Linked DNA regions of Neurospora crassa OR74A. The protein of the gene in region 1 interacts with the protein of each later gene in a pairwise test. Links are inferred from orthologs where the notes say so. Each region holds a gene or a part of one and is shown on either strand. Other genes may lie near its edges. The genes, in order: NCU04461, NCU02624 and NCU02693.

Region 1 (3,554 bases):
CTACAATAGATACAGGGTCCGAAGGGTGGATGTAACGCAGGCCAATGGGATGTGTCTTTTGGCTAGAGCCATCATGCCACAAGTCCATGCTCCTTCCCAGCTTCACGTGAGAAACATGGTAGCTAGAAGCTGCGATATGCGCTTACTGCTTCTTGGCTTCACGAGCGGCCTTGCGGAGAGCGCGGTTGCGGATGTCGATGTGCATGTTCTTGTTCAGCCTGAGGGTAAAGTAGCTGTAGGCACCGACAGTGTTCTCAACAACCCACTTGAACACAGCATGGCTCCACCAGGGGGTGTAGGTGTTAGGAAAGGGCTCGGAGCTGTTGAGGCCAACCTTGCCGAGAGCAGCGCGGACGAACTGCTTGGGGTTGGGGATGAGGAGGCTGGTGCGGCGGATCTTGCTCATGGCAGTGGTAACGAGGTAGCTGACAACAAGGTGGACATCGACGCCCTGGTCCTTGAGCTCGGCAGAGAGAGCGCTGCTCCAGTGCTGGAGGAACGCCTTGCTGCCGCTGTAGGTGGCAAGGTAGGGGGTGGGCATAACACCGGCGAAAGAGCCCATGGTAAGGATAAGACCCTTCTTGCGCTGGGCGAGGATGGGAGCGACAACCTTGGTGGTCTTGAGTGTGCCGAGGCAGTTGATGGTGACAATGTTCTGGAGCTCGTCGCGGTCGGTCTGGAGGAAAGGAACGGGGATGCTGTGGGACTGGCCAACGTTGTTGATCAAGATACCAATGTCGAGGCCCTTGATGAGCTCGGCGAGACGCTCGTAGTCGGAATCGTCGTCCTTGGAGAAGTCCATGGCGAAAGTCTTGGCCTTGAAACCATCCCATCTGAGCTCGAGCTCCCTAGCAAGGACGTCCAGCTTGGACTGAGTGCGAGAGACGAGAACGAGGTTGAAGCCCTTGGAGGCGAGCTGCTGGGCGAACTCCTTTCCGAGACCATCGGAGGCACCAGTGATAACAGCCCAGGTGCCCTTCTTGCCATACTTGCGGAGCTGTCAAGGTTGATGTTAGCCACATTCACCTGACAATCTTCAGTCCCAAGTAAGTTTGCGAAGAGACGTACGTTGGTGCCGCTCAGGATGAAAGCGTTAAGGAGCAGCTGGAGGAAAGCGCCGACGCGAGTAGCGACGTAAAGGGCGCCGATGCCAGCAAGGGCCCATTGGCCATATTGAGGGACAGTGCCCCAGATCTCGGCAACCTTATCCATTGCGTACGGACTGTCGGCGAAAGTCGTTGATGAAGGAACGCCTTTGGTTTGAATCGGGGAGTTGTGACACTTTCAAAGTTGGGTCCGGTCGCAAATAATTGTTGGGAACTTTTTGGAGGACCTGGGGTCGACTCGCCTACTATGTACACTTGCATGTGTCAGCCGCCAAGATTTTCGAGACGTCCCGCCCCGCGGCCCCGGCGAGAGGACCTGGGCAGCTGGGTTGTCCCCGCTTTTGCCGAACCATCACTCACTCGACGCCGCCATTGAACTCCGACGGAGCTGGCCATGGGCCAATGGATAGAGGAGAAGGGGGAGCCTGGCGGATTTTGTTTGTTGTCTCCAAAATGTCGTCCAATGCCCGTGGACCTGCGTCCATGATGCTACGATGACCCCTGTCTCTCGCGCTTGAGAGTGGCCCGAAGTGTGGTTTCCATCCGATCCTCGAGCCGCTGGAACAAATGGAGAGCTGCAACAGGAAGGGCAACTAACACCTCAACAACAAAAGGTCTTCTCAATACAAATATCCTGGACTTACGATAGCTTTCTTCCCTGACGACAAACCGCTTCATAACTGTTTGAACCAAATGGACGCTATCAAGGCTTTCCTGCCTTCGGGCGAGAAGGGTCTCCTTCCCTACTACCTCTTCTTTGTAAGTTGACGGTTGCTGGTCCCCCTGACTCTTCACATGGTTTCGCAATTAACACGCCCTTCGTCCAGGTCTCCATCGTAGCTATGGGAAACGCCCTCCAAAACTACACTACTCTCCACTACACGCGACGCCTTTACAACGGCCGTTTCGTCCCCAACCCTTCCCTGCCGCCCGCAAAGGGCAAATTCAGCCCGGAGGACAGCGTGGACGTGCTGAAGCCCGTCTCGCCCTCAGAGGCGGAGAAGAAGGAGGCGGCTGCCAAGGACCAAGTCACGCCGCTGGCGGCCCGCGTCTTCGGTACCTACACCTTTATGGCCGGCATCATCCGCTTCTATGCGAGCTACAACCTCGAGAACGAGTCGTTGTACAAGCTCGGTATCTGGACCCATGTCATCGCCGCCGTGCACTTTACGAGCGAGTTCTTCATCTACAAGACGCTGCGTTTCAGCGGACCTCAGATCTTCCCCTTCTTGGCGGCGTATGGCGGCACGTTGTGGATGGTGTTGCAGTATGGTTACTACGTCCAGTAAAAGACAGGTGCAGCTACCAGCTGGTCTTTGGGAATCAAAGCAGGAAGCAGTACATGGCCCCCAAAAAGGAATGGCGAGTGGACTCGGATCATGACCATAAGAAGCGCGATCGCGTATTAGGTGAAATAAGACTCCGACGATAGGCTTTGTGGAAGATGTACCACTTATTGATACCCTTTTCGGTCAAGAAGCGAAGCAAGCGCATCATACATTTCCACTACTGCAACGACTTGCGATAGAGCTCACCACCGCAGTCTCTGAGTCGCGCAGCCGCTTGCTCCGGAGTGATATCCCTCTGCGGCTCAGCCATTAACTCGTATCCGACCAAGAACTTGCGCACGGTAGCAGACCGAAGAAGTGGAGGGTAGAAATGCATATGGAACCAGCTCGTCTCAGCCTCTTCCTCTGTGCAATCCAACGGCGCCTGATGAATACCCGAGCCTTCTCATACCGTTAGCTCCTTTCTCCCTTTCTCTCTCCTTCGGGCAGTTGCAGAGGGTAGTAGAACTTACTATACGGAAAGTTTGTCTCGAACAAGTTATCATATCTTCTCGTAACCTCCTGCACCGCCTCGGCAAACTGCAGCCTCTCCTCGCTCGTAAGCTCCACCAGCGCGCGCACATGTCTCTTCGCAATGACGAGCACCTCAAACGGCCAGACAGCCCACCAAGGGCAGACGACCAAGAACCCGTCGTTCTGCCAAACCACACGCTCGCCCTTGGCCATCTCCACCTTGACGTAGTCCTCCAGCAGATGCCTCCCCTTGTGCTCACGGTGGTACTTGGTCATCTGCGCCAGCTCCTTGCCCGGCTCCTCGGGCAGCGTGCTCGTCGTCCAGATCTGGCAGTGCGGATGCGGGTTCGAGCAGCCCATGGCCGCGCCCTTGTTCTCAAAGATCTGCATGTACCGCAGCTGCTGCTTTTTCGCGGGCTCGACTTCGCCGTCCGGGTTAGGTGGAATCTCGCTGAGTGAACGCGCGGCGGCGTCCCTGAGCGGATGCGAGGCAGACAGGTGGCTGGCGTAGATGCGCGTCCAGGTCTCGATCACGGGTACGATCTCGGTCGCGCTCATGTCCGCCAAAGTGGTGTCGTGCTTGGCGGAGAAGGTGAGCACGTAGCACCGGCCGGTGGCGGGCTGCGCTTGCAGGAGGAGAGAGGCA
Region 2 (4,307 bases), on another chromosome or scaffold:
AGCATCCTCTATCTTATACTTCCATATCGCTTCGATCCGGCCTTCTATTTTCCACCAGTTGGCTGGGACCGAGTAAACCAGCAAATTCCTCACTACATAAGCTCTTCTCGTAGCAAACCCCCTTCAACTCCCTAGAAGTTATGGCTGTTGATTCGCTTAGGATTTATAACTACGTCAAGCCCCCCTCCCCCCTCCCCCCCCCCCCCTTTTTTTTTTTTTTTTTTTTTTTTTTGGGAAATGCCTAGATCTTAATAGCCCCCATGGACAACCCGCGGCGAGTGAATGAACTACGTACCCATAGCCATTCGGTCAGGCAAAGTTGTGTCATGATCGAGAACAGCATAACGAGTCACCGAAGAGGAAATGCATATTGCTCCTTCATTTCCTTCAACTGTTCACTCATTTCGGTGCAGGACACGTTTGGTGGTTGTCGGACTCGACTCGGATTATTTGACTCACCAACGCGAACTGGTGATGTTGTCCTTTCAGACTTTCGCAGATCTTCTTTTGGCTACTACAACCACACCTCCAACAACAACAACCAACACGTGCATAGAACAATCAAGAATGGATGTACTGTTCTTCGACAGTGAGGCCACCGTGTTCGTTCGTTGGTATTAGGTATTAGTTATAATGCAACTTCCTTTTCTTTCCCCTGAGTCTTCCTCGGGACACTCCTCCCATAAGGTCCATCGAGCTCTATTCTATCCTGTCTCCAAGAACACTCTTTTTCATGATTGATCAATCACGTCATTATATGCCGTAGACCCAGTTCCATAATTATAACAACTAAAACCAAAGAACGCCCATCTAAGCATCCACACCCTTCCTCACCACCACATCAGTGTCTTTACAACTGGCAACCCTCCCTCCTCTCCCAGTAAATCTTCGCCGGCTCAAGGGGCCTCGAGAAAAGCGAAGCGTAGTCGGTACCAATAACCTTATCGCTACCATCCACGTTCCTGAATTTGAAGTTACGAACAATAATAGCAAGGATAGTCTGCAGCTGCACATTGGCGAACTGCTCGCCAATGCAGCGGTGACGACCGGCGCCGAAGGGCAGATAAGGGGAGTTGGCGCCCTTGCTGACGAGACCGTAGCCGTAATCGATTTTCTCATCGTCCTCCTCGCTAGGGACGTTGCGAACAATTGTGGGCGCGAGGGGCGAGTCCTTCTCCCAGCGGTGGGGCTCCCAAAGGTCGGGCTGGGGGAAGTAGGACTCGTCCGTGGCGGAGACACCAGGGGCGGCGAGGAGGACGTGATCGGTCGGAATAACGTACTTGGTACCGGGGACGGGCATGGGCGTCTTGACGGCGCGCATGATGGAATGGATAGGGGCGTGGAGGCGGAGGGTTTCCTTGACAATGGCGGCGTGCAGGGGCAGCTTGGCGAGGTCCTCGTAGGTGAGTGGGGGGAGGTCGGCGCCGAGGTTCTTGACTTGTTCGTTGTAGAGATCCTCCATGATGTCGGGGCGGGAGGCGAGGCGGAGCATGATCCACGAGCTGGTGGAGGACGAAGAATGCTGGCCGGCCATGAGGAGGGCGATCATCATGTGGGCGATCTCGTGGTCGGGAACGGGGACGTCGCCCTTGTAGGTCGAGTTCATCAGGTGCCACATAATGTCCTGGGCGCCAGTCTCGCCGCGAGCGCGACGCTCCTTGATGGTGTCCATGTAGATCTTAGCAACGGTACGCTGGGCGTAGTCGCGACGGTTGTTCCAGGGAAGAGGGGCCCAGTGAAGCATGAAGTTGATGGGAGAGAAACCCATGTCGAGGTCGTGGTATAGGTCGGCAAGCGTCTCGTCGAACTTGTCGCGAATCTCCTTGCCCTGAAGAGCGTGCGAGGCGGTGAAGATGGTGATCTGCGCCATCTTGGGGGGAATATCGACGATGCCGGATTTTCCCTTGAAGTCGGCGGTTCTCTTGAGGTAGCTGGTAACCTCATCGGAGATGATGGGGACATATTGGCGGAAAGCTTCGGTGGTGAGCGCAATTTTCATGAACTTGTGAAAACCGTATGTTAGCACACTCTTTACCACCTCCATATGTTGTTGCCTCTGCTAACCTTCTTCTGCTCCATAAGCTTGGAGTTGGGGCAATCGTAGACGACGTCCTTGCCGAAAACAGGGGTAGTAAGGACGGTGTAAATCTCTTCGGCGTTGACATCGCGAATTTTGCCGTTCAAGATAAAGTCATTGCCCTTGGGGCCGACGTAGACAGTAGTCTTCTTTCCGAGGAGGATGAAGGTGAAGCAATCGCCGTACTGTTCGAGCGCCGAGATCGTTAGCAAGCCAAGTTCGCGCGTAGCCCAACAGGAGGCGGTTGGAGGATTTACCTTTTCCCTGTTCTCCTTGAAGAAACGCGGCGGGTCCATACCATACGTAATGGTGCTGCCGATGAGAGGAAACCAGTGGAAGACGAGAGGCGGCTCATTAGGCTTTTTGAAGAGGAACTGCTGGAGGACGTTGAGGACGACGGCAACAAACAAAAAGGAGGCGATCGCGACACCAATTTGCGACACCGTCCCCAGCTGGGAAAACTGCTGGGACAGCGGTCCCGCAACGACTTGCAGGATGCCCATGGTTGGAGAAGGAGGCGGGGAGAAGGCGTGGAGGGGAACGAAGCCAAAGTCGTGGACGCCGGCAGCAAACAAGCAAGAAAATGAATGTAGCCTGAGGAGGGGGGGTAAAAGGGGAGAAGATGGGCGACGCGACTTGATTTTATAAAGTCGGTCGATGGTTGGCGGTTATCGTAGCCTTTCCCTCTCTGGCTACGACCTATCCTAGCGATAGGCTGATAGGGGAGGGGAGGTCTACCCACCTAGCTAGGGACCAAGGGCAGTGCAGTGGTAGTGTAAAACTGGGGTGACAGCAGCACACTTTCACCAGCTTGGTGAAGCTCAGGGACCACCTCACCTTTCGGGAGCAGCTTTCCCTCCGGGCGAATAGGAGTTGGGCAGTCTGATGTCTCCCAGCCAATCATAAGAGCAGGGGCAACGCATTCGTATTCGGATTTTTGGTTGGACGGTACGTACCCTCTCCAGATCATCCAAACTAACCTATCCTTGCCGCACTGGCAACCTCAGCCCAAGATCATGCCATGGGGGAAATCGCATCTGACGGTTTCCACCATGGAAAGAGACGATTGGAGCTCTTCAGCCATGCTGTTTTGGTCTTGCAAAGGAAATGGGATGCAGACAGGGTAATGTCATGCTTGAATGGAAATCCTAACGTCTTCAGAACGCGGCGAGTACGAAGGAATACATATGAATGCCTGACTGCAGATGCAGGGCAGCGATGAACAGATATGATAATATGCATACTACTTGAATGGCCGCTATCTACATACTTCACCCCTTTCAAACATCTCACCAATTCCCAACTCGCAAGCAAAAGTATCTAACATTCCGTGCTTTGTTGAAAGAAACTTGGTCAAATACTAAAAAAGGGGTCAAGCTGGAGTTCAACGGAGCCATCTCTTGGCATTCGAGGTTGTGCTTTGCCACAGCGGCTACTCCCGCTCTCGTCTCAATCCCGCCCAAGCAAGTCATCTTGCGTCGTCCCTCGCCTTTGCTGACCACCACTATCTTTCTAGCCTATGAAAATATATTAAAAAAGGAACCAAAGAAACACGTGGAGTTCGCTATTGTTATAGTGAGGTAGTGCAATGGCGTCATCAAACGATTACGCAAACGTATTCGAATCCATGGTTTGATAGACTCATGATCGAAAATCTGTTGCTGCCGGTTCGAATATGTATGTATAGAGTAAATATATTTATTTGTTGTCTGAATCAGGTGGCTTGGTATCTTCCAATACTATGAGGCAGGTTTCCAACCGAGCCCTTTGTCACTCTACACAAAACCAACCAAATGCATTGACTTGCTTGGTTCAGACATGCAAGAAAACAGAAAAAAAAAAAAAAAAAAAAAAAAAAAAAAAAAAAAAAATCAATGCTGATTCTGACAGGAAGCCGGGACATGTTCTATCTGACATCGAAAGAAGAAAACCCATACGAAGGAATAGAGAAAAGCTTGAGTGAATGCGTGTTATGTGGTATCATGAGTGCCCTATCCCAAGAATCCCGGAATGATCAATGCTCCCCCCTTCCCCTTTTTTGTTACCCCGAAAATGAAAGTGTAACTCCTGGTTGAACGCCGTCCAAAATGCGAAAAGCTGCAAAGAATAAGCGCTATGACTGGCAAGTTTGTTGTTGTGGTTGTTGTTGGTTGTGGTTGTGGTTGTGATTGTTGATGTTGATGCTTCGGAAGCTGTGGCGTTCCTTGCTTATGGTTCATACATCACCCGT
Region 3 (3,656 bases), on another chromosome or scaffold:
CCGCAAGCTGGGCGATGCTAAATTGTTCGCGGCATCGCGCCACGATAACACCGGTGTTTCGACAAATCCTGCTACTTCAGACGACCGAAGGATCTGATCCGGTTGCGTGGAGGGTCCTAGGGAGCCATTTCCAACGGGCTGAGGCTGCACGGCGGCCTGATGAACTACGACATTTGGTGATATTGTCTTGCTGAACACGGATGTGCGCGTGGTGGGTTCAAAGTTGTTATATGCATTGGCGAGTGCTCTATAGTTGGCATCGTCTTTCGATCTGCTAGGAGCTGTGATATGGACGAGGATTTCGGTCGCGGATTTTTTGTTCATCACACTGCGTCAGGGCACCAGTTTAAGCTGTGGTTGTCGAGTGCCATGGAATGGGCTGGGCTGCGTTGCAATCGAGATATAGAAGTTGGAAGTGTGCTGGATCATGGGTTTATGGGTAAGGGTGAGACGCTGGATGGAAGGCTGTTGCCTGACAGACAGTAAAGTGTTCCAGATTCTTACGAGGTGGAAGTGAAGAGAAACGCCGTTGTGGGAGGACAACGAAAGGGAGCAAATGCGCATTGTTGACTGGCTGCACGACGGGATCTGGCAACAAAAAAAAAATGGAAAACCGCGTGCCCGTCGCATTCAGTTGGGTACCTCTATGTGCAGGCGGGATCGATAGTACTAGGTTCCACCTTTATGGCAAGGTCTCACGATGTTGGAACTTGGAAGATGGGAGAGCACGGGTCCCTGTGCGCCTTCATCCACTCAGGTCCACTGCGAGCCGCACCCCGTCGACCTTGATGGACAACAGGGGTCCTTCATTTTGCCCTTCTGTAGGTTCCGCCCAAAATCCAGCCTCTTAAAAAGGGGTCACGATGTTTTCCACAGGCGTGTCGCCGTGTCGTACCTCACTGGCTGTCAAGAGCTAGGTACAGTAATTTCCCCTGAAAGTGCATGTAATCCGGGCCAGGGGTTTATATGCATCTAGAGGCACATATGCACTAGCAGGCACATGCCAAGTCTTTTTGCTCCCTTAGTATGAAAATTTCAGAGGTTCAGAGAGTGCTAGCTTGCCTATAAAGTCCTAAAAGGCCCTGAAAAAGGTGTTCCAAATAGTGCATATTACACCGAAATGGCCGGCCGTTTCACATACAGGGGCATTCAAGCACTTATGCGATTTCCCATACCAACTAATTGCGGCCGCCAATTTCTACGCATCTAGAGGGCTTTATGCATTATCAGGTGCATGCACTTTGAGGGGAAATTACTGTAAGTGGCGTGCTTGGAGCCGAGACGCGGAGCCAGAGACACAGTGGCATGTCCCTGATAGGTTGCAATTTGTAGCTCAAAATGGCATCCTTGTCCCCCGGCTTCGAAGATATCCTACCCATGATCCCACGTCCCTTGCTCTAGAACTAGACAGTTTCCCAATTGACCCTCCTTCAGTCCATCTTTCCTGCCTTTCTCCCAACGCTCCAATCCATTGCTCTTCCCTTGTCGATACCCCGCATACATCCCACGATGGCCTCAGAAAAGAAGCCGGAGCTTGGCTCCGTCATGGTGATTGGCGGCTGTGGCTTCCTCGGTCACCACGTTGTCCGCGTGCTCCTCCGCGACTACATCTGCTCCGTTTCCGTCATCGACCTACGCTGCACGCGGAACCGGCGACCCGAGTCGGATGGCGTCCAATACTTCGAGGCCGACATCACAGACCCCGCCAGGCTCGAAACCATCTTCAACCAGGTCAAGCCCCAGGTCGTCATCCACACCGCGTCGCCTGCCGCCCAGTCCAACGACAGCGTCTCTCATGCGCTGTTCAAGAAGGTCAACGTCGACGGCACCGCCGCCATCATCAAGGCGTGTCAGCAGACGGGCGTTACCGCCCTCGTCTACACCAGTTCCGCCAGTGTGATGAGTGATAACAAGTCCGACCTCATCAATGCGGACGAACGTTGGCCCGTCATCCGTGGAGCCCAGCAGAGCGAGTACTATTCGGAGACAAAGGTACCCTCCTACTTCCCCTCTCTCCCATATCCCCCAAGAGTGATGCATCCCAAAACTAACCTCCCCCTCCCTCCAGGCCGCCGCCGAAGAACTGGTCCTCCAGGCCAACCGTTCCGCTGCCGCCCCTTCCCTGCTCACCTGCTCCATCCGTCCCTCAGGCATCATGGGCGAAGGCGACACCATGACGCTGTACCACCTAATCAAACTGTACCAGAACGGCAAGACCTCGGTTCAAGTCGGCGACAACGATAACCTCTTCGACTTCACCTACGTCGAGAACGTAGCGCACGGTCACTTGTTGGCCGCCGTCGCCCTCCTCCAAACCTCCAAGCTCAAGATCGCCCCACTAGACCATGAGCGCGTCGATGGCGAGGCCTTCATCATTACCAACGACTCGCCCGTGTACTTTTGGGATTTCTGCCGGGCTGTGTGGAACGCTGCGGGATCTCCCCATGGGACTGAGCACGTGTGGGTTTTGCCGCGCGATGTTGGTATTGTGCTGGGCTTTTTGTCGGAAGTCTTCTTTGGGATCATTCGCAAGCCGCCGACGTTTAATAGGCAGCGCATCATTTATAGCTGCATGACGAGGTACTACGATATTTCCAAGGCTAAGAAGCGGTTGGGATATAAGCCGCTGGTGCCATTGGATGAGGCGGTGAAGAGGTCGGTTAAGTGGACGCTGGAGCAGCAGAAGGGGGAGAAGTTGCAATAGGTATAGCAGGCCTTGAATGTGGAAGGGATAAAGGGTGTGGTGGTGGTGGTGGTGAAAGAAGCAAACATCGACGGAAGGCATGATAACTGTATATGAAACATTGGACAAGCGCTGATGAGGCGAAATAAGTCGGGCCTTGCGTGCTGGAACGCGCCGTACTATCTGTCCCGCTGTATAATAATATCTAATGACGACATTTGGATGACGGACGACGAGGCATGCCTCTCTCAGACATGTTGGCCGGATGAAGGGGTGAGCTGGATATTGATCCACGGACAGATGCTAAACATGTCACGCGAAGCTACGAAACTCCTTCAACAAAGCCCAGACTGAACAGTATGATGCCGGTGCGTGTACGTAGTTTCTAGATTAGGTCTGTTACCGGTCCATAAGTGACTAACAGAAGCATTCCGATCTTGATCGCTCGCTAAACTTAATTCTCTTGCTAATCCCATACACCATGATACCCTAACGCCATGCTATCCCCTTCGTAGGCCACTTCAATTCCTTCATATGTCTTAGGAAATGTCAAGTTCAGCGCTTGGCTCCTTTCCTGCCTGTCGTCCTCTCGATCTTATCTCTTCCAGGCGTGTACGGCGCTGCAATACCAACCAATCTCTGCGATTGTTCATTTCGTCCTAGTGTTGGAAATTGTCCTTGTCCTTGCCCTTGCCCTTGTCCCTGTCCCAATGTCTCCCCTGGTGACTGCTGCGCTTCTGTTCCAGCCGTGGTCGCCATCGTTGTCGTTGGTGGCGTAGAGGTCCGGTCTGTTGTTGCCGTGGTATCTCCCATGGCATAACCACTTCCATTACCAACGCTAACAACGCCCCCTCCTGGTGCTGCTCCTGCTGCCGCCGCCGCTGTCCCTCTGAATTCATATACTCCCCCGACACTAAGAACCGCAGGTACCCCCAGCGTAGGCGCCGTCAATTGCTCGCGGTGCAGCTTATCA

Evidence for each region.
Region 2: the proteins of NCU04461 (region 1) and NCU02624 interact in a two-hybrid assay, tested with the Saccharomyces cerevisiae proteins (2 studies listed by BioGRID, with this or other methods). The link is inferred for Neurospora crassa OR74A from reciprocal best matches to the Saccharomyces cerevisiae genes ERG28 and ERG11.
Region 3: the proteins of NCU04461 (region 1) and NCU02693 interact in binary tests that used the Saccharomyces cerevisiae proteins (3 or more experiments, as listed by UniProt). The link is inferred for Neurospora crassa OR74A from reciprocal best matches to the Saccharomyces cerevisiae genes ERG28 and ERG26.

What each region holds. Positions count from the first base shown.
Region 1 is NC_026504.1:3,279,131-3,282,684, forward strand, and holds NCU04461 (transmembrane domain-containing protein), read left to right. Parts: upstream 1-1,472; 5' UTR 1,473-1,799; coding exon 1,800-1,865; intron 1,866-1,933; coding exon 1,934-2,395; 3' UTR 2,396-2,612; coding exon of another isoform or gene 2,613-2,836; 3' UTR 2,837-2,907; downstream 2,908-3,554. Other genes in the region: NCU04462 (3-ketoacyl-CoA reductase), read right to left, coding at 143-997, 1,069-1,212; NCU04460 (galactose-1-phosphate uridylyltransferase), read right to left, coding at 2,613-2,836, 2,908-3,554. UniProt on the Saccharomyces cerevisiae protein: Part of the third module of ergosterol biosynthesis pathway that includes the late steps of the pathway.
Region 2 is NC_026501.1:2,956,642-2,960,948, forward strand, and holds NCU02624 (cytochrome P450 51), read right to left. Parts: upstream 2,849-4,307; 5' UTR 2,581-2,848; coding exon 2,335-2,580; intron 2,263-2,334; coding exon 2,065-2,262; intron 2,003-2,064; coding exon 851-2,002; 3' UTR 230-850; downstream 1-229. UniProt on the Saccharomyces cerevisiae protein: Sterol 14alpha-demethylase that plays a critical role in the third module of ergosterol biosynthesis pathway, being ergosterol the major sterol component in fungal membranes that participates in a variety of functions.
Region 3 is NC_026501.1:3,224,383-3,228,038, reverse strand, and holds NCU02693 (C-3 sterol dehydrogenase/C-4 decarboxylase), read left to right. Parts: upstream 1-1,309; 5' UTR 1,310-1,509; coding exon 1,510-1,992; intron 1,993-2,068; coding exon 2,069-2,704; 3' UTR 2,705-3,132; downstream 3,133-3,656. Other genes in the region: NCU02694 (hypothetical protein), read right to left, coding at 1-324; NCU02692 (hypothetical protein), read right to left, coding at 3,239-3,656. UniProt on the Saccharomyces cerevisiae protein: Sterol-4-alpha-carboxylate 3-dehydrogenase; part of the third module of ergosterol biosynthesis pathway that includes the late steps of the pathway.